2 linked regions of the Schizosaccharomyces pombe genome follow. The protein of the gene in region 2 interacts with the protein of the main gene of each other region in a pairwise test. Each region holds a gene or a part of one and is shown on either strand. Other genes may lie near its edges.

Region 1 (14,796 bases), on a different chromosome or scaffold from region 2:
GCGAATCATATCAAAACATACATTACTTAATTTTTTCCTTTTCATATCTTCCTTCTTTTAGATAATATGGCAGAACAGAAAATCATATCCTTATTTGACGATGATGCTTGTACTCGTTATACAATTTTAATTGCTAGTACAATTGGTGAAATGCGAGAGAAGAAAGAGTCAATAATCGATAACACGGATCCTGAAATAGTAAAATATCTTTCTCAATTATTGGACGTCTTTAGAGAAAACTTCGACACTTGGGCAATGGCAGTTGTAAATCGCACAGGTTGCGCACTGGATCCCTCTACTCCAAAGGATCAAGTAGAAGTAAAAAAATTTCGGCAGTTTTCCGAAACAGAGAAAAGCGAGTGCTTTATTAAATGTCTACTGTTATTGATTCTTTCATTGGGTAATTATTCTCCTTATTCCCGTAATTTATTATATAGTATTGCAGAGAAGTTGGGCTTGTCCTCTATCGTGGTTTATAAGGCTGAGCTTATCACCTCTTCTATGCTTTTAGATACTTTTCAAACTATGGAAAGCAATCAAGAAATGTATGAACTTTCGGGCACCCGAAAAATGAGAAGACGGATTGCAATGGGTCTCGCTGGACTGGCAGGTGGAGCTCTTATTGGGTTAACAGGTGGACTAGCTGCACCTTTTGTTGCAGCTGGGTTAGGGACGTTATTTGCTGGTCTAGGTTTGGGAACTATGATTGGAGCAACCTATCTTGGCACTTTGATTACTTCGGCACCAATGATCACTGCTCTGTTTGGAGGCTTTGGAGCCAAAATGAGTATGCAACAGATGGGGGATGTATCTAAGGGACTCACTGATTTTGAATTCATACCTCTCAGTGTGCAATCGCATTTACCGGTTACCATTGGAATCTCAGGATGGCTTGGGGATTATAACGAAGTAGACGCTGCTTGGAAATCTTTAACTGTTGGAGATAAAAGTTATTATTGGGGAGACATATATGCTTTGAAATTTGAAGTTGAAGCTTTAGTTGATCTTGGAAAATCTCTTTCCAGAATCTTATTTTCTGCTGGACTTGGCTGGGTAAAGGGAGAGGTTATTAGTAGAACGATATTAGCTCCTCTTGCTGCTGCTTTATGGCCTTTATCACTTTTGAAAGTCGGAAATATTTTAGGCAATTCCTGGAGAATTGCATTTAATTTATCCATCAAAGCCGGTGAAGCTTTAGCCAATGCGCTTTGTGTTAGAGCTCAGGGTATGCGTCCAGTGACTTTAATTGGGTTTTCGCTTGGTGCACGTACAATTCTTGAGTGTTTACTACATTTGGCTGACCGTGGTGAGACGAATCTAGTTGAAAATGTGATAGTAATGGGCGCCCCTATGCCGACTGACGCTAAGTTATGGCTTAAAATGAGATGCGTTGTCGCTGGGAGATTCGTAAATGTCTATTCTGCTTCTGATTATGTACTACAATTAGTGTATCGTGTCAACAGTGCGCAATCTACGGCTGCTGGTCTTGGACCAGTTTCTCTTGATTCAAATACTTTAGAAAATGTCGATGTGGGGGATCTTGTTGAAGGTCATTTGCAGTATAGATGGTTGGTTGCCAAAATTTTGAAAGAACGTCTTGGGTATGATAACATTTCTGATGCTGAGATTCAATCGCTTGCAGTACAGGAAGAAAAATACGAATCGAAGCAAAGAACCTATTATTCTCAAAAAGAGCAAGAAGAGGAAATTGAGCAAGAAGTACTTTTTGACGCCTCTAGCGATACTGAGTTAGCTATACAGAAGAAAGAAGATGAGGTGAATGAGGTACGAGAAAATAAAAAGTGAGGAAAAAAATTCAAAATGTTTAACATCATTGAATTACACGAAAACATGTTTTATTATATTTTGTTTTAATGATAATAACGGACTCCCAAATTTGCGTTAAATTGTTATAAGGACATTCAAGGGAAATTTGATCTTTAAAGCACCTCATTACTCTCTTTTGGATTTTGCACCATCTTGCGTACTTAATTTTGTTGTATTGTACCCCAAGTTTCTTCTTTCTAATTTTCAAACGTTGAAAGAAAATTTTATGAAAACTGTTTGAAAAATTCTTTTAGATAAATTGGTTCATCATGGGGACGTTTGGCATTGTAGCATTGTCAATTATATGCTCGATTGCTTTCTTATTTGTTGCATATGGTGTCTTACGACTAATTAATTCTATTCGGAGAAGAAATATGATGACAGCTGATGTTAGTTCTGTAAAGTCTTCTCAAACCTGGAACTTTCTGAAGAACCCTTTTTCCAATTCCGCTAAGTTTGAAGCCTTGGATGCAGACGACATGTGGGATACAAGGGTTGAAGAAGCAGAGCTTAATACTATTCCTTCTGCTTCTCCATTTATAGATCACACATCAGAGACAGTACCTTTTGTAAATACCGAAGCCCCTCCTCCCAGACTGTCTTCATCTTTCTCACGACAAAGTGGTGAAAATGCAGAGACTCAAAGTCAAGTATCCGCATCTCCATTCAATGACAAAAACTCTCCATATGTACAAGAATAAAGCGATTAAGTTCTTAAACCTAGTCCTCTTTTTTAGGCCGGTGTATCTATCGTCATGCGTACATATTTGATACTAAGGACGTGCTTTGATCCTGAAAGTATCGCTTTTACTCTGCTAGATTTTTCTGTAAATCTTGAGCCATAACATACACAATCATCGTTTAATAAGTTTTGCACTCCTCTTTTTCTAAATATTTATTTACAATCATTAAAATAAATAATCCATTAATTCATTGTACTTATATAAGTCTTCAATAGTTAATTTGGACGTCTACTGTCTCCGTAAAGCATACAAAAGTTTATTATTCAGCTAGAATTTTAAATAATTATTGGTCTCTCAGTATACCCACTGCCAAAGACTCAATCAACCGATGCTGTAATTTTATTGTTCAAAAAACGCGATTATATTATGTTTTGTATTTTATATGATGTCGTGTATATTAAATTTATAAATTTGAATAAATATGTAAATAATTTATATGTTTTGTGACATTAGTCTAAGTCAATTCGAAATAAATATAGAATGTACTGCACACGCGTTTGTCAAGAGCCAGCATGAGTCAGATCATTTTAGACAATATATCCCAAAACGAAACTGTATACAATGTACGAGTGTTTTCAATGTTATTTTCATAATTGTACTAATATAGATGCCTAATTTTAGAGATTTGTTATTATACATGGTAGAGTTGGACCTCGTGCAAGTTATTGCCCACAAACAATCAATGTGAAGCATCACGAAAATTCATTTCCAGAACAAACATGGGTAGTTACAGACTTATATTTTAAAGCTATCATTCACGTCGTTCCCGGAGACAATACCATACTATTTACTACGGACGATGGAGGTAAACTAGAATTGCAGGTTTATTACCAATTACTTGTTGATAATCCTTTCTATTGTATCGCCTTTATAGTTGGAAAAGACTCAGACCTTTCATTTGATGCACCTCACGGTGCCAAAAATGATATTGATGAGGGCATCCGTAAACTCAGATGCGCTGCTTACTTATGGCAAGCTTTCACCGCTGAATGTATGTATAGAAATGGTTATGGAAGACGTTCTTTTAGAATTGAGGAAAGTGTGCAACCCGACACAATGTCTTGTTTGTCCCCTTGGGGCACCGAAAGGTTAACAGCCACTATAAATATTCTGCGAAGTGATAAAACAGCAGAAGAGATTCGATCGGTTCCTCCAGATCAATTGTTTCATATAGCTGGAGATGCTGTCGACAAACTACATCTTCCTGAGCCTTGGCATTATATGTGCATGTTCTTGGATACACGATATGATCCTTCTACTCAAAAAATTCGTGGACATGTAGCTTTAGGTGGAGGTACAGACATGCACAAACTTGGAGTGTTTGGTTCCCATTCGTTACATTCTTTTCCTAGTGCACTTGAGTATGTTGTACCTGTCTTTAGTGATGCCCGTAGAATCCCTTCTTACTTGGCAAATGATGCAAATGAAAGTTCTACGATTTGGGAATGTGCGAATATAGGGATAGGCGCTATGCTTCATGAGTTAGGACATACACTTGGTTGTCCTCATCAACCAGATGGAATCATGTTGCGATCATATCCAATATTTAACCGCAGTTTTACGACAAGAGAATTTGAATGTGTTAGAACTGGAAGTAAAGGTCTTGCCCCAGTGCTTGCAAAAGATGAATGTTCTTGGCACCATCTTGACATGTTAAGGTTTTTTTATCATCCGTGCTTTAAACTACCTTCAGACCCTACATATCCGTCGGACATTGAAACGAACTACTTTGTTAAAGGAGAAACTATCACATTTGTCAATTCGACTGGAATCTTTTTAATTGAAATTGAATACAATGGACAGACCAAGGGCTGGAAGGAGTTTAATCCTCCAGTCGGAGAAGCTTCTTTAACTGATGCTGAAATACGCTCTCTTTCAAATGCAAGCTCCAATCAAGATTATCGTGTTCGCGTTCTATCCAGAAATTTCAAATGTATTGATTTAAACAATGTACCTGAAATTATAAAAAATGCGAAGGTTGAATCGTCTTTTGGAACTGTTTATCGATCTGAAAGATATGGTTTGCGAGGTTGTAATGGGAAAGAGTTATCAAATATTTTAATAGCACCTGAAAAGTTTAAGCCTACTAAAATTCGTGTTCATTGTGGTTTAGCTTTGGATGGAATTGAAGTATTTTTTGGTGATGAATCAGTTCTTCTTGGTAACCGTGGTGGAAGCCCTCACGATTTTGAAATACAAGGCTCCCAAATTGTAGGCTTTCAAATACGTTGTGGAGCCTGGGTGGATGGGATATCCATTGTTTTAGAAAATGGTAAAACAAGTCCATTTTATGGAAATGCTAACGGGGGTGGGTTGAAAAGCTATTTAGTCCCAAAAGGTTTTCAATTAGTCGGGTTTTATGGCACATTAGGGGTAAGTTTTTTTTTATATTATTGATCTAACATTAATAGCCATTCATGGATTCAATTGGGTTTTTTATTAAGTAGCTTGAATTCTGAATACTAATTGAATACAATTGCTTAAGGAGAATGAAATTACGTACCATGTTTACAACTAATAAAATTACTACACTGAAATGTATAATAATGTATAGAAAAATAGTTCTATTTACTTTATAGCATGTCTTGTCTTTTAAACAATGAGTTTTGTAGTCATCAAACGAAAACACCTTTTCCAGAAATTTCAACCACATTAGAAAGGTTCTTAATATTTTGGTTCCATTCTCGTAGACGAGATTCCATGCTTGCAATTTGCGAGTGATTTAAAATTCTAGATTGGACGGAAGAAATGGTGACAATTTGGGTAACCTCATCTATAACACCTGTTATAAGCCCTACGCTTAAAGCACGCATAATGAGTAACTCAACTTCATTAGAAGGAATACGGGTTGCACGAGCAATTGTATCAAATGTTAAAGTACGCTGATTTGGAGGTAATTGGAAGACCAACTCAATGAGGGCCATTAAACGAATTTTTTGACCTAGTAAAGCAACCGAACTTTGCAGTAAAGGCATTTTGTTAATTTGCCCCATTAAGCGTTCAAACAAAGGTAAATCTCCGACATTCATGGCGATGACTAAATCATGTAACCACTCGTGCTGTGTACCTACTAGCAACTCGAAAACAGGATGTAATAATAATTCACCAAAATTATAAATATCACCGAGTATTGCGGCAACACTTAGATCCACCGCTCTTTCAACTAACTCGGTATGAGAGCATTTATCGAGGTCGATGCAAGATAAATACAATAGACAATGACGATAGTATTGAGCATAATCAGCCTTTGCCTTGTAGTAGTCTGCACTGACGCTATAATATGAAGAATGAATAAGACTTTCTACGTAATCAATGTGGTCGATAATTTTTGAGGCTTTGACAAGTAGTTCCCGGGCTTCATCCAACTTACCACTAATCAGCTTGATGCGAGCAATGGCAACAATGGAATATACATAGGCATCTTTATATTTCTCTTCATCCAATTCGTTAACAATTTGGTTTAAATTACGAAGGGCTTCGTCGTTAGAACATGACTCAAAAGCCTTTAAGCCCATGTACACTGCTTTGAGTTGATTGATATTAGGTCGAAATGAGTTGACAAAGTTCGTATACAAAGGAAGCCTTAAAGGTACTGTTTCTGGGGTATCAAAGAAAACAATCAAAGCATCTGTAAGTTGTTTCCATAATCTGGCGTCAGTTAATGTAAAGTTCATTTTCTTCTAAAGCACTTTTACAACATACTTCCTTTCATAAAGGTCTTCCATTAAAATATAGGATTGCTGAAGGCTTTCTGGAGCTCTTGTAGCTTGATCGTGTAAAAAATCAGACATATTGACAGACATTTCGGTATCCATGATGAAATCCTTCGTGGAGTAGTTGTTTGCTGATGGCAAGTGCTCAAGTCATATTACTACTGTTTGAAACTTTAGGTAAATGGAGAAATATAAGCATATTTATTTTATTTTCATTATGTTAGTTAAAATTATTATTAAAAAAAAAGTTAAAGCGTATTTGAAAGCATATAAGTAAAGCATGCTTTAGTAACCTCTATGAAAACAACGCAAGGTATAAAGCAAACTTCTATAAGTAAACGAACTATTTTATTAAGAGAAAACTGACTGTTTTTTAAGTAGTTCGTTTGTGGAATAAGATCTTTATCTTACCAAAAATAAAAAGGGTAGATAACCTTTCTGAAAATTTTCATAAAATAAACGAAGAATAAAAATTATTTTCTTTTCTATAACAAATCAATACTTCACGATCACTCAAAAAAATAAATAAGGTATCATTTTTATAATAGTTATAGTGGAATACTATACAGATAAATTAATTAGCTTTAACCAGCAATGATTAAAAAAATTACTTTTCTTTTAAAGGAATTTATCATGTCAGTATTCAATTATTCATTCTTCAGGAGCATCGCAAAACAGTGAATTAAGTTTTTAACCCCAATTAATGTGTTATGGTCTATAGTGTTTTTCGTCCATCTAGAATGTGCCAAATCTATCAGCTTGAGAACTACATTGCTTTCACAATGATACGTTGGATTTAGGGAAGAGTAATCATAAACGAAAAGAATACTAGAAGATTTTAATTCAATATAAGACTCAGAAAGATCAACTTCAAATAATTTCAATAAATTAAGGAAGCTTTCAACCAACCTTGCTTTTTGAGAAAGAGAGCAAGAGACAAAAAAATCATTTAAGCCTTCTACGACATCTGAATCCGTAAGGGTTTTACCCCAAGCTGTTGATCGTTTAATGTACGTATTGTTTGTTCTGTCCCACGACAATATACCAGTTATACGAAATCCAAGACTACCACTCGTCGTACTTCTGGAAACGGCATCTAATCTTTTTCGTTTTTCAAGAGGAGCGTCATCGGCCCACAACTGTTTTCCTAATTTGATATCCATGACACAAGGAGTTTCCATCTGATACAGAATATTTTCTAAGATTATAGCTTTTCCAGTTAAGGAAAAAGCAACACTTTCTGCGATCGGGTTGATACCCTCAATGTCTCTACTAGAAGGCATCCACTCACCGAAATTCTTAGGAATCCAGTTGTAGAGCGTAATATTGTCGTTACATGTTTTATAAAAATCAACTTCACTTTTAATGCATGGCTTAATTAGAATTTTATCATCCTCACTGACTAGTACTTGGCCATGACCAGCAGCTTGAAATGGAAACAGTTTTAGTTTCATCAAGAGTTAAAGAAAAAATCCGCTAGTACATGTTTTTTCGTCAAAAGTATATTTCTTGAAAATTGCAATACGCGTTTAGCAATATGCTGAAGCGTTATTTTCGATGTGACAGCTGTTGGGTAAGCGGAATGTAGAATGAATTGAAATAGTGTAGAGCTATATCAACCACTTCCACTGCTTGCACGAACATGCAGGTTATATGAGCTGAATAAATAAGTGTAAAATTTTATCTAATAATATAAAACAATGAATTTCCTAAACACATATCCAAATGTGTATGTACTCGCTGTTAATTTATTCAGCTTTTTTTACAGTAGATAAAGTTGTAGCCTGGAGATCGAAGTATGAATTTAACAGAAAGTATAAACTTTTTTGGATATTATTTAGAAAGTGTTTTGCAAAGTTTTTATAAATTATAATATTATTAAAAACCTATATTCCAAACCACTAAGGGAAAATATTTTAGCTAAATTACAATTTACACACTTTCAATAGTATGTACCAGGGCTTTTTTTTTTTTTTTTTTTTTTTTTTTTTTTTTAGGACAAATTATATGTACTTTGCTAAAATTTAAAAGTTAAATAGTAGATTATTAGCAACTTCTTTTTTGCTAAGTCCATAGACTATATAACAATACAGCTCTCAATCAGATATGCAGTTCCAACTTTTTTTAATGTTATTATATTCTGTTAAATATGGTAAACAATGTCCAATTGAAGAATGCCTGCTCAATAGAAATAAACTCACCAATCTGATTTATAGTTTTGAGTCCTCCATATTCATAGTGTAATGCCAAGAAACAATTAAGATTATTAATGTGCATAAATTTCTTAGAATTCCAAATTTAAGCAAATTTGGATTAATTTTCCAAGTTACATTGATCGAAGGATCGACTAACGTTGATGTTGTTACTTGTACTTTTGGACTACAGCTAAAGTGAAGTTTACTAAAGAAAATTTCTTAGCAAGGGCGAGCAACCACCATTGTAGGTCAGATACTACTTTTTACAGCAAGGAACCCGAAAAAATGTCAGTTAACCCAAAGGTATGTTAATAATGGTATAAGACTTCTTCTTTGGCTACGAAATAGCTGAAAGCATGCTAGTTTCAAATGCTAGTTTCGTCGGCAATTTTATTACGGAAAATGAACTTTTCCGAAATTTATATTCGTTTTATTGCATACTAACATTGTTAGGCCTTTCCTTTAGCCGATTCTGGCTTAACCCAACAAATTCTCGACTTGGTACAACAGGCCTCTCATTACAAGCAGCTTCGCAAAGGTGCAAATGAGGCTACCAAAACCTTGAACCGTGGTATTAGTGAATTTATAGTAATGGCGGCTGATACCGAGCCCATAGAGATTTTATTGCATCTGCCATTGCTTTGTGAGGACAAGAATGTGCCTTATGTTTTTGTTCCTAGCAAGGCTGCTTTGGGACGTGCTTGTGGTGTAAGTAGACCGGTGATTTCAGCCAGCATTACTACCAATGAGGCTAGTGATTTACTTCCTCAAATTCAAGCTATTAAATTGGCAATAGAGAAATTGCTCATCTAAACTTTTGGATTTTGGGAACAGTTTTCTTTTAATCGAGAATAAAATTTGATTCTTATGGAAGCAGATTGTTATCGAATTTTTTATTTTGTTATTGTAATTTTGTACTGTTTCGCTTTCTATATAATTTCAAGTACTCTGTTTGTAGTCATTTTAATTTTTATTAATTAGCTCGCAAAATACTCAACAAGAAAGATAGTTGAGTGTTTACATATAAGAGCATTACGATTTTAATAAAGATAGTGTATATTTGGTGTTTGATATATATATTTTTTAATATATTTTTCGTGTATGATTCGAAAAGTATCTTCACTAAGCTTGCTTCCAACTTGATTCTGAAATTTTTTCTCTCTAAAGCGTTACAGCTTGTCCACTAAAATAAAAAAAGATATTTGTATTCATTAATAAACTTTACTGTTATCCCATGAGTATCTATTAAAACAAATCCAAATTTATCTAAATTGCGATACGAGCTAGGCTCGCTATTTTCCTTTATTACTTGCTTCTCGTTTGTGTTTACTATCCAAGCGCAATATGCCTACTAAGACTAAGAAAAGGTCCGTTCTTGAGGCTGAACGGAAAAAGATTGGGTAAAAAATTTCTATAGCAAGATGTTTTTACTAACATTTGGTTAATAGACTCGATCATGCTCCCAAGGAGGATGAAAGTGTAGATGACAACTTCCCAAAGCAATTCAAGCGATTGCTACAGCAAAAAGAGTACCATGAATCTAAAAAGAAGGAAATAAAGAAAGGCAACCTTAAAAATAAGAAAAAAAAAGATTATGGGAAAATTCAAAGATTACCCGGTGAACGCCTTAGTGAATTTAGTCAGCGCGTAAATAAGGCTATTCCAGTATCTTTTAAGTCTGGGCCGAGCAAAATAGACGAATTTACTGATAAAAAAGAAAAGAAAAAAATAGCGAAAAGAAAAGAGAAGCGTGAAAGAGACTGGAATGAAATTGAGGAAAATTTTGAAGATAAAACATGGGAGGCGGATACTACTGGGTATGTGTATATCACCAATTTCATTTCGTATAAACTAACATATTAGACAATTTATCCAAATTGAGTCTAGAAAAAAACGAAAAAATTCGCCTGATCCGTGGGCTAATTTACAAACAAAACCTTCCTTTGGAGAAACTGTGCAAGCTCCTCCTGAACTTCCGGAATTAAAAATTAAAGAGACAAAGTACTTGGAAAATGTTCCCAAAGTTAATAATATGGGTCAAACAGAATCTATGGCACGACGCCAAGCTCTAGGAAAGCAGCGTTTGGAACTTATAGAGAAATATAGAGAATTAATGAAAACCAAGCGGAAATAATCTTTTTAATAATGAAAAAAGAATTTATTTCTAATGCTGACTTAAAAATAATTAATTACTTTAAATATACAGCAGGCATTAAATCTAAATTTAATTAATTCAAAAACTCATCCACAATAGCAGATAATTTCGGTCCATAGTGCCCTCTTAGTTCACAAAACTGTTGTGAAAATTCTGGTGTTATCGTATTTGACAATGAAACAACTATTAATAATTTACTAGTCAAATCGCAACATACATGTTCCAATAGCCTTCTATTAAGTGGATTTTTGTCCAAAGAAATTTGTGTATGTGGAGAACTTGCTTGAGTCAAACGCTTGAAGGGGAATTGACCAACTTTGGCATATGTGTATAACCATCCCTCAAGTATTTTTAAAAGAGCATCTAAAAATTGAGGTTTTAAAAAGTTATGCTCCTCAGATACACGATTGTCATCGTTGTAATGTGATGCTTTAACACCTTCTTTCATTATCACTGTTTCCAGAAAAGTTCGGGCTGCCTGGTCAAGTTAGTTTCTTAAATCAAATAATAAGTTGATTTTGTATACCTGAAGTTGCAAAATTTTAGAGCTGTCATTATTCATAATATTAATCAAACAATTAAAAACTTTAGTCTCATCATCCTTCTTTTTTTCCTCATCAGCAGGGTTATCCTTCCTTAGAAAGAACCAAAACAATAGACTCTGTAAAGTATTAATTGCAGAAAACTTCAATGTATCTTCATAGCTATTAGGAACCCGCGAAAGAAGCGAAACAAGCCTTTCATATATTATGTCAAACTCAGGATAGTCAGAAAAATCTTTGAGAGAGGTACATCCCTCGATTCTTGTTAAACAAGCTTCAAAAATAACAAATTCATCTTTTGTTATTACAGCATCTTGAATATTAAAAGATCCAAAATTCTTTAAAAATTCGGTTACCGTCTGGTCGCAAATGTCAGTAACCAGAAGCTTCAAATCTTCTTTCAAAGCAGGAATAGAGTCCAACCGTAAAAATAATATCGTGCAACCTTGAATAATTTGAAGATCATTATTGGTTAGGAAAAATTTTTTTAAATTATTAATTAGAAGTTCAAAATGTCTGGAAAGTTGAGGGTCTGTCATTTCTGTCAAATCCATTGAGAATAACAAACGAAGAGAATCATGAAGAAGTGTTGGTGAAGCAGAATTTCTCTCAGTTATTGAATTAATGTAAGGAAGAAGATTCAAATAAAGTAAGTCCTTATCTTTATTTTGATCGTTGGTCGTTTCCGCCGCTTGCTTATTATGCACCGTTTTAGGTGTGATAAAATTGTTATTACAGACAGTTTGGATTGAAGCAGAGAGAAGCTGTAAAAGAATAGATTCCTGAAAATCATTTAGCTTGCAGAAAGAAAGTATACTGTCTATCGGATCTTTTAGAGTCGAGGTATAATTATCAAAAAGTACGAAGTTGCTAATATCCTCCCATGACTGATAGATTGAATCAATTTCACATGCATTAAGTAAAGCTTGTGTTATAGGAGTAATGAAATTACCATTTTTTTGGAAGATTCGTAATAATGTATCATAATCAAAGCTCGATTGGTAAGACAATCTAACCTCCTCCAAAAGTTTACACATTTGGGAAAATTTTATCCAATGAACTGAAAATGTAGTAAGTGAAGTCTGAGAAAAGGCCTTTAGAATATAGTCTTCTTCACCCCATAAATCAATTTTTTCATTCACACTTTCGTCAACCACTTTGCATAAAAACAGTACGGCTTCACGTTGCACCCTTGGATTGATATCTAAAATTAGCTTCAGCACTTTTAAAATTTCAGAATTTTCTAAAAATCCGCAAGTCCTCATAGCGTTACACAAACGAATGCTGGCTACACGAACTCCAATATCGGCGTCCACACAACTCATCTCGAGTATTCTTTCTTTAAATCTAGAAGAAAAATGTCTTAATCCACCAATAAATGAATCTGTCTCAAAAAATTTGCGCAAAACTTTAACTACAGTTAATCTGACGGTAGTGTTTATGTCTGAAAGCATCCATCCTAGGTATCTTAAATAACTTCCTGAAAAAAATATGCTTGGAACAGTATTAATCCAGACCCCAAGCTCTTGTAAGCAATCTACCCTTATTTTAGGCTCCACGTCTCGATATCGATGGACGAAGACACTAATATAAAGGTTAGTATAAATAAATTAAAGCGTTTGAGGGATCTTTACCTATCAAAGTAGTCATTTAAGTATGTAGTCAATGTATCTTGTTGCTTGACTATTTCACCAAGACTGTTATTAAGTTCGTTGATGCGATTTCTATTTACACGAGAGCGCTTTTCTTCTTTCTCGAGCTGTTTGGTAGCAATTGCATGCTCGTTCAATAGTTCTTTAGATTTTTCACATAAAAAAGTCATAATATTCAAACAGAAAACAGTGGCGGTGTGCCGAATAGGTCTCATCGTAGAAGAAGACATGGCAACGACCCAAGACATAATATCTTCAAAAACAGTGCTATTGTACAAGTAATTTCTTATTGACAACTGTGACACAAAGTTGCTTAAAAGACCGGTCAATCTCTTTCTGAAATTCCTAAACTTAAGATTTTTTGAATTTAAAGGATAATCACGAGTAGAAGTCTTAAAGTTGTTAATATACAAATAAAGTATTTTCGCAAAAGCACTTACACGCTCTACAGAAAGTTGAATTTGAGATAGAGTAGCTGAAGCAGAATCTTGATCCTGAACATCAAACACATTAATGGCACGATTGCAACCACAGCACTAAAATATTTAGTAAAGAAAGAAAAGAATGACTCTACCTTTAAAATAAAGTTAATAAGATTTGCAAGGGCAGATTGATTATCTTTTGCATAGTCAGCAAACCACGAAACCGCGATGTCCATGGTATCAACTTTTTGGTCAAGCAGAAAAGCTTTTCAGTGTTAGTAGCTGAAAAAAAGAAGGACTTTATCATTACCAAATAAGTTGTTAAAAATTTCTTCTTGAGGATCCTCTTCAACTATAGCGTTCCTCCTAGAGCGTTTTACATTTACTCCTTTAGAATTTGGCCGTGGATGCCGTTTTTTTGAGCTTATCGTTTTCTCGTAATCATCATCGCTATTTTCTTCAGAAGATGAATTTGAACTACTGCTCATGGGATCAAAACTTTGAGAAAGCATTACAGGGGAAGATTCTCTGTCTCCTCCATCATCATCAGATCCAGTAGTAACAGACTCACTCATTTGAAGAAAAAAAGAAATAATTTATAAATAAATTAAGAGGTGTAATTAGAAATATTGGAAAGAGTGTAATGAATGCACTATTGGTGTTGTACAATGGAGGTTGTTCACAACCTGTAGTTGATAAAAGCACGAACTTGTCTTGTTCAATAGTGTTAGACAGGATAAATGTGTTTGAAAATCCAAGGATACGAAAGGAAATTTATACTTAACGAAGTTATTACATTAAAATTTTCTTTACCTTGATTGAAACAAATATATACTATTTTCTTTTGGGTCCTGCAAGGTGAACAGCTAACTTATATTCACTCCGCGAGTTGAGATTGTAATTTGACTATACAAGTATAGAATTGTGAGTGAAAGATTCTTTTGACGCGTAATATTTTCGATTATTATTAATAAATGAGATATTTGACAACTTTTCGAGCGCTCATTATATCATAGGCAGAAATACGAAAGTCATCCTTTATGAAAAATTAACAAGTAATTAGAAAACTTTTATCCTTTTTATTTATTCCTCAAGAATTTTAGGCTGTACCCATCTGTAATTGCAAATATGCTTAAACATGACTTTGAAATACGCGTTTTGTTACTTTAACATATTCTGGGTAACGTTTGGTGCATGTGATGGATCACGGACGCGTCGCGTTCACGCGTCACGAAAATCTAATATACTCACGCTACCATCCACTACTTAAATTAAACTGGAACACACGACCTCAAAAGCGGATTAAATTAAGATTCATGATTATACCATGAATATGGACATTGGAAAAGCTTTGAGTGATGTTGGTGGGCTTCGAGATATTACCTCACGTGCAAATAACTCATTACCTCCGACTCCTGATTCTTCTCCCGCAGCACCTTCCAAAAAACATAAGCTTTACGACTTCCTAGAAAGCCGAGGAAAAATTGAAACACCTCGAAAACGCATTGTGTTTGAAAAGAAACCCCTGTTACACAAGCCAGTTCATA
Region 2 (4,657 bases):
CCCGTTCCTGCTCTCCTATCTTACTTTCCAAACTTTCGATTTGTAGCGTACGTTGAGTAGAATCGCGCTCAAAAGCATCAATTATTTCTTTAGCAGTCATTTGTAGCTTCTGAAATTGAATTGTTTTATCTGAGACATTCTTTTCATAATCATCAAAATACTGAAAACTCTTCTGCTTAATAGACTTCATCTCGCTAACACTTTGAACAGGCGATGAAGCTATGAAAGTCGAATCTTCAGCCGAGGCGAGAGAAGCCTCTTCTTGATATTCCATATTAAATCAATCTGTTAATCTCTTAACCTTGTATTGTTTCAAATCTTTTCGCTACGAATTAGTGTCACTAACATACGAAATGTTGTTGGTAAATGGAACGCGTCGCAGGCTCATCAAACAACATTGTATTTACGAGTGAAGAAACATTTGAGATATACGTAAACACCACCAAAAATTGCACAACTATCTATTTAGTCCCTAATAATAGTTGAATAAAGATTCGTATGCTTTAATCATTTCTACATTTCGTTTACAAATAATGTTCATGGCACCAAAACTTAATACCGTTTCATATTATTACTTTTCAAATGTTTAAACCAGACAATATAGATAAACGATACATGCATTGAACCATATTTCATTAAACGTAGGCACTGAGTTAAATTATACCTTAAAGGCACCACGCATAACAGTGGCTTGGTATTTTTGGAGTTTGTTAAGTAAAACATCACCCTGCTTAACAACCTCTTGGTATTGACGGTTTTTTTCATCAGGACGGTTTGTAAATACAACACCGTTGACTCGATCAATTACACAGTTCAACTTGTTGTCTGGGATAAATGACGCCAAATCGCGATCGATATAATCAACAGATACGCCAAAGGAAGCGGCCATGGAATCGATACTGAGAGCACGGTAAGATTCAAGTAACTGGGCGTAAGCACGTCTTCTCATTTCACGCACATAGTATCTATAATGGGCGACAAGAAATTGATCACATTTAAGATGATTAACTTCAACATCGGCCAAGGTTCGAAAAAATCCGGAATAGTCACATAAGTACAAGCTGTTGATACATGCTTCCAAACTAGACATTGATTCATTTTGAGGTAGCACGGCAAGCACTTCAGGTGAATCAACGATTTTGGTCTTGACATCAACACGATCTAAAGAAATTGCACCAGAAATCACGGCATATCGAACGACGTCGTAATATGGAAGTAGTTCGGTGGAAGAGAAAGTTGACATACAATCCAAGAGAAGGTCGGCGGCACCAGAAAAATTACGGATTGACATCAAATATATGCCTTGGTAGGCCTTTAATCGATTTTTCCTCTCCCAATCACCTCCCTTTTCAATAAGTGGCTTTAATTTTTCCAATAATTGACCAACGACCCTCATATCAGCATACACGTATGCCAAACGGATTTTGGAAAAAAGAACATCAATCTTCATTCCGGTCAATGTTGCTCGTTCAAAAGTTTCATCGCATAACTGTACACCACGTTCTCTATCGCATATATTCGTATAATAATCAGCTTTGTTTTTCATGGCTTCTAAAATTTCATGTTCTCCATTAAGTTCTTGGGCATCTTCGATCGCTTTGTCAAACTCTGCTAACTTTTCTTCATTTTTCTTTATCATACTATTTAAAAAATTACTATCAAAATCAATACTTGCCGATGTTTTAGGGTTCTCTGAAAGATATTTATAAAGTGGAGCTAAATCATGATCACGAATGGCAGAAAAAAGCGTATCCAAAGCCTTTTGGCTCTTATTCTCAAGGAATGGCGAGGAAAGCTCGAAAATCGCTTGCGAAATGGTCAAATCTGATACGGTTCTTGCCTTTTCTGTCATGGTGCGGTGTGTGAGTGTTGCAGAGGGAGAACACATATCAACAGCTAACTAAACTACATATTGTACATTTCACTCATCTAAAAGTTAGTAAAATGTTAATTTTTTGTAGTTTATTTAAATTTCAAATATAAATTTAATTCAAACAACTAAAGAGAAAAAGTTCTTTTTCTACTTTTCAACTTCCACTGTTCCTTATGTTCTAGTAACATGTTTTAATTAAATTTTATTAGAAACGAATCTTAAAACTCGTAAATTTTATTCTTTTCAATTCTTTTTTGTGAAATATGCCATTCTGAAAAGTCAAGTGCTTGAACATTCCATCAGTCTTCTCGAAACTTGTAAATCGTTAAATTAATTTAATTAACCAAATTCTATAAGACAAAAAAGTTAAGCAAATAAGCAAGCATCTCTTCTATACCTCTGTTTTTACATCGTTCTAATTTTTTGGTTTACACGACATGTAGCATAGGTTGGGGCTTACTAAAGGAATTCAAATAATTTTTCGCATTGAATATTGCTTACTTAATATATATAAAACAAACAAAAATGGTTTATTAGAATATCATATTTAAGCCTGTATAATCCGGTTAATGGAAAATAAAAATATAAAAATAACGGAAACGTTGTCATTCACTGAGTATTTTTTAGGAGCTATTTTTTCTCTGTTCATTATGCTAAGTTAGTGAAAAAATTAGTATATGTAATATAAGTGAATACAGTGAGCGGTTGATAAGTATCTCCAAATAAAATACAGTAGAAAGAGTGAAGTACATAATATCAAATAACGATTATCTACTTTATATTTATGTTTACAGATTATCCAAATGATATTAACTGTGAGTCTCCAAGAATGTCGGACCTTGATGGATTTTGTCAAAATGCGTTCTCAGACCTTAATTCTTTGAATCAACAAGTATTTAAGGCAAATTACGCCGTCCGTGGAGCTTTAGCCATTCTTGCGGACGAGATCCAAGATGATTTACTTGAAAATCCTTCTTCATATCCTTTCAGTGAGATCGTCTATGCAAACATCGGTAATCCTCAGCAGATGGGACAGTCTCCTATTACATTCGTTCGACAGGTTTTATCTCTTTGCCAGTACCCTACCTTGTTAGACCATGCTGAGGAAAAGTGGTTTCAAAATTTGTTCCCTACGGATGTCGTACAACGATCCAAAATGCTCTTAAAGGAATCTGGAAGTTTGGGTGCCTATAGTGCTTCTCAAGGTATTCCGCTTGTAAGGCGACATGTTGCGGATTTCATTAGAGGTAAGCATTTTAAGAAGAAAGAGTGAAGATCGTCGGACACAGAGACAATTCGCAGACTGTATTAAGAAATTTAGCAAAAATACTGCAACCCATTAAAGCTGCTAGGGTCTTGCTCGATAAAAAATGATTTTAGACTCCGCCATTCATTCTTTTTTCTTTTTATCTTTACACATTTTCTAATTATATTTTAGCGAGAGATGGATTTGATTGCGAGCCATCTGACATATATTTGACTAGTGGTGCCTCACACGCTGCCCGGCTTATAATGACTTTGATAATCGCTAGGCCAACAGATGGTGTAATGGTTCCCGCTCCTCAATATCCTTTGTACGGTGCCCAAATTGATCTCATGAGTGGATCTATGGTATCTTACAGCCTCTCCGAGGAAAATAATTGGGACATTGATTTTGACCAATTTAAAAAATCATTTGATGAAGCATCTAAAAAAGGTATCAACGTTCGTTTATGCGTGGTTATTAATCCCGGTAATCCTACTGGAGCTTGCATTTCTGAAAATAGCATGGAAAAAGTTTTGCGCTTTGCTAAGGCAAAGGGCATAGTATTGCTTGCCGACGAAGTCTATCAAAACAATATTTACCAAAACAAGTTTCATTCTTTTAGGAGAAAACTTGGTGAATTAAGAGAAAAGGAACCCGACAATCATTGGGACCAAGTTTCGCTTATTTCCGTAAATTCTGTTAGCAAAGGTCAATTTGGTGAATGTGGTCAAAGAGGTGGATATTTGGACGTTGTTAATATTCCAGAGCCCGCTAAGGATCAAATCCTCAAACTAGCTACCATTGACATTTGTCCACCAGTTGCTGGTCAATTATTAGTAGACATGCTAGTAAATCCTCCTAAACCTGGTGATCCCAGTTATGATTTGTTCATCAAAGAAGTTGATGAGATTCATGAAGCACTGCGTTTACAATGCCGTCAGCTCTACGAGGGAACAAAGCGCATGAAGAGAGTTTCATGTTTAGAACCCCACGTAAGTAAAATTTGCATTATGTTTTCATTTCTTTACTAATTCATATTTTCAAGGGGGCCATGTATTTGCATCCCAGCGTCTCACTTCCCGAAAAGTTAATCACTACAGCCAAAGCTCAGAAAATTCAACCTGACGAATTCTATGCGATAGAATTGCTTAAGCGTTCAGGTATATGTGTTGTTCCTGGAAGTGGATTTGGGCAACCAGAAGGTGATTATCATATTCGAATCACGTTTTTGGCTAAAGGAACTGAATACATTGAACGATTTGTCAAAGCTCATAATGAAATAATGGACCTCTATGAATAATTTTTTGGTTATATTTTTGATTTTGGTATCCTCAAAGGAGACAACCTTTATTGATTTTTGAAACTATTCCCTTACTACTATTCACATTTCTTTTCACTCGAAAAGTACATTTATGTTGAGTAAACGAGACCCAACCCATGTTTATTTTAGTATTCCATATTTGAATTATTAACTTGTTAAGTAATATTCTATCTCTCTTTTCATCTTGTTCACACATATTTGAGCTGTTTTATTGTAA

What was found.
Region 1: the proteins of rpn7 (region 2) and rpn9 interact in a two-hybrid assay, tested with the Schizosaccharomyces pombe proteins (one study listed by BioGRID).

The regions. Positions count from the first base shown.
Region 1 is NC_003424.3:2,035,431-2,050,226, reverse strand, and holds rpn9 (19S proteasome regulatory subunit Rpn9), read right to left. Parts: upstream 6,420-14,796; 5' UTR 6,386-6,419; coding exon 6,273-6,385; exon of another isoform or gene 6,219-6,272; coding exon 5,186-6,218; 3' UTR 5,068-5,185; downstream 1-5,067. Other genes in the region: protein Mil1, read left to right, coding at 67-1,806; SPOM_SPAC607.07C (uncharacterized protein), read left to right, coding at 2,097-2,528; SPOM_SPAC607.06C (metallopeptidase), read left to right, coding at 3,083-3,133, 3,192-4,943, 4,982-5,017; arg82 (inositol polyphosphate kinase), read right to left, coding at 6,931-7,737; U3 snoRNP-associated protein Snu13, read left to right, coding at 8,764-8,781, 8,932-9,291; SPOM_SPAC607.02C (uncharacterized protein), read left to right, coding at 9,823-9,878, 9,927-10,295, 10,342-10,612; mitotic cohesin complex non-SMC subunit Psc3, read right to left, coding at 10,707-11,111, 11,160-12,759, 12,810-13,219, 13,268-13,363, 13,402-13,514, 13,560-13,824; WD repeat protein Cdt2, read left to right, coding at 14,577-14,796. UniProt on the Schizosaccharomyces pombe protein: Acts as a regulatory subunit of the 26S proteasome which is involved in the ATP-dependent degradation of ubiquitinated proteins.
Region 2 is NC_003423.3:429,893-434,549, forward strand, and holds rpn7 (19S proteasome regulatory subunit Rpn7), read right to left. Parts: upstream 1,874-4,657; 5' UTR 1,853-1,873; coding exon 659-1,852; 3' UTR 501-658; downstream 1-500. Other genes in the region: mcp6 (horsetail movement protein Hrs1/Mcp6), read right to left, coding at 1-274; alt1 (putative alanine aminotransferase), read left to right, coding at 2,703-3,120, 3,312-4,111, 4,165-4,419. UniProt on the Schizosaccharomyces pombe protein: Component of the 19S cap proteasome complex which acts as a regulatory subunit of the 26S proteasome, involved in the ATP-dependent degradation of ubiquitinated proteins.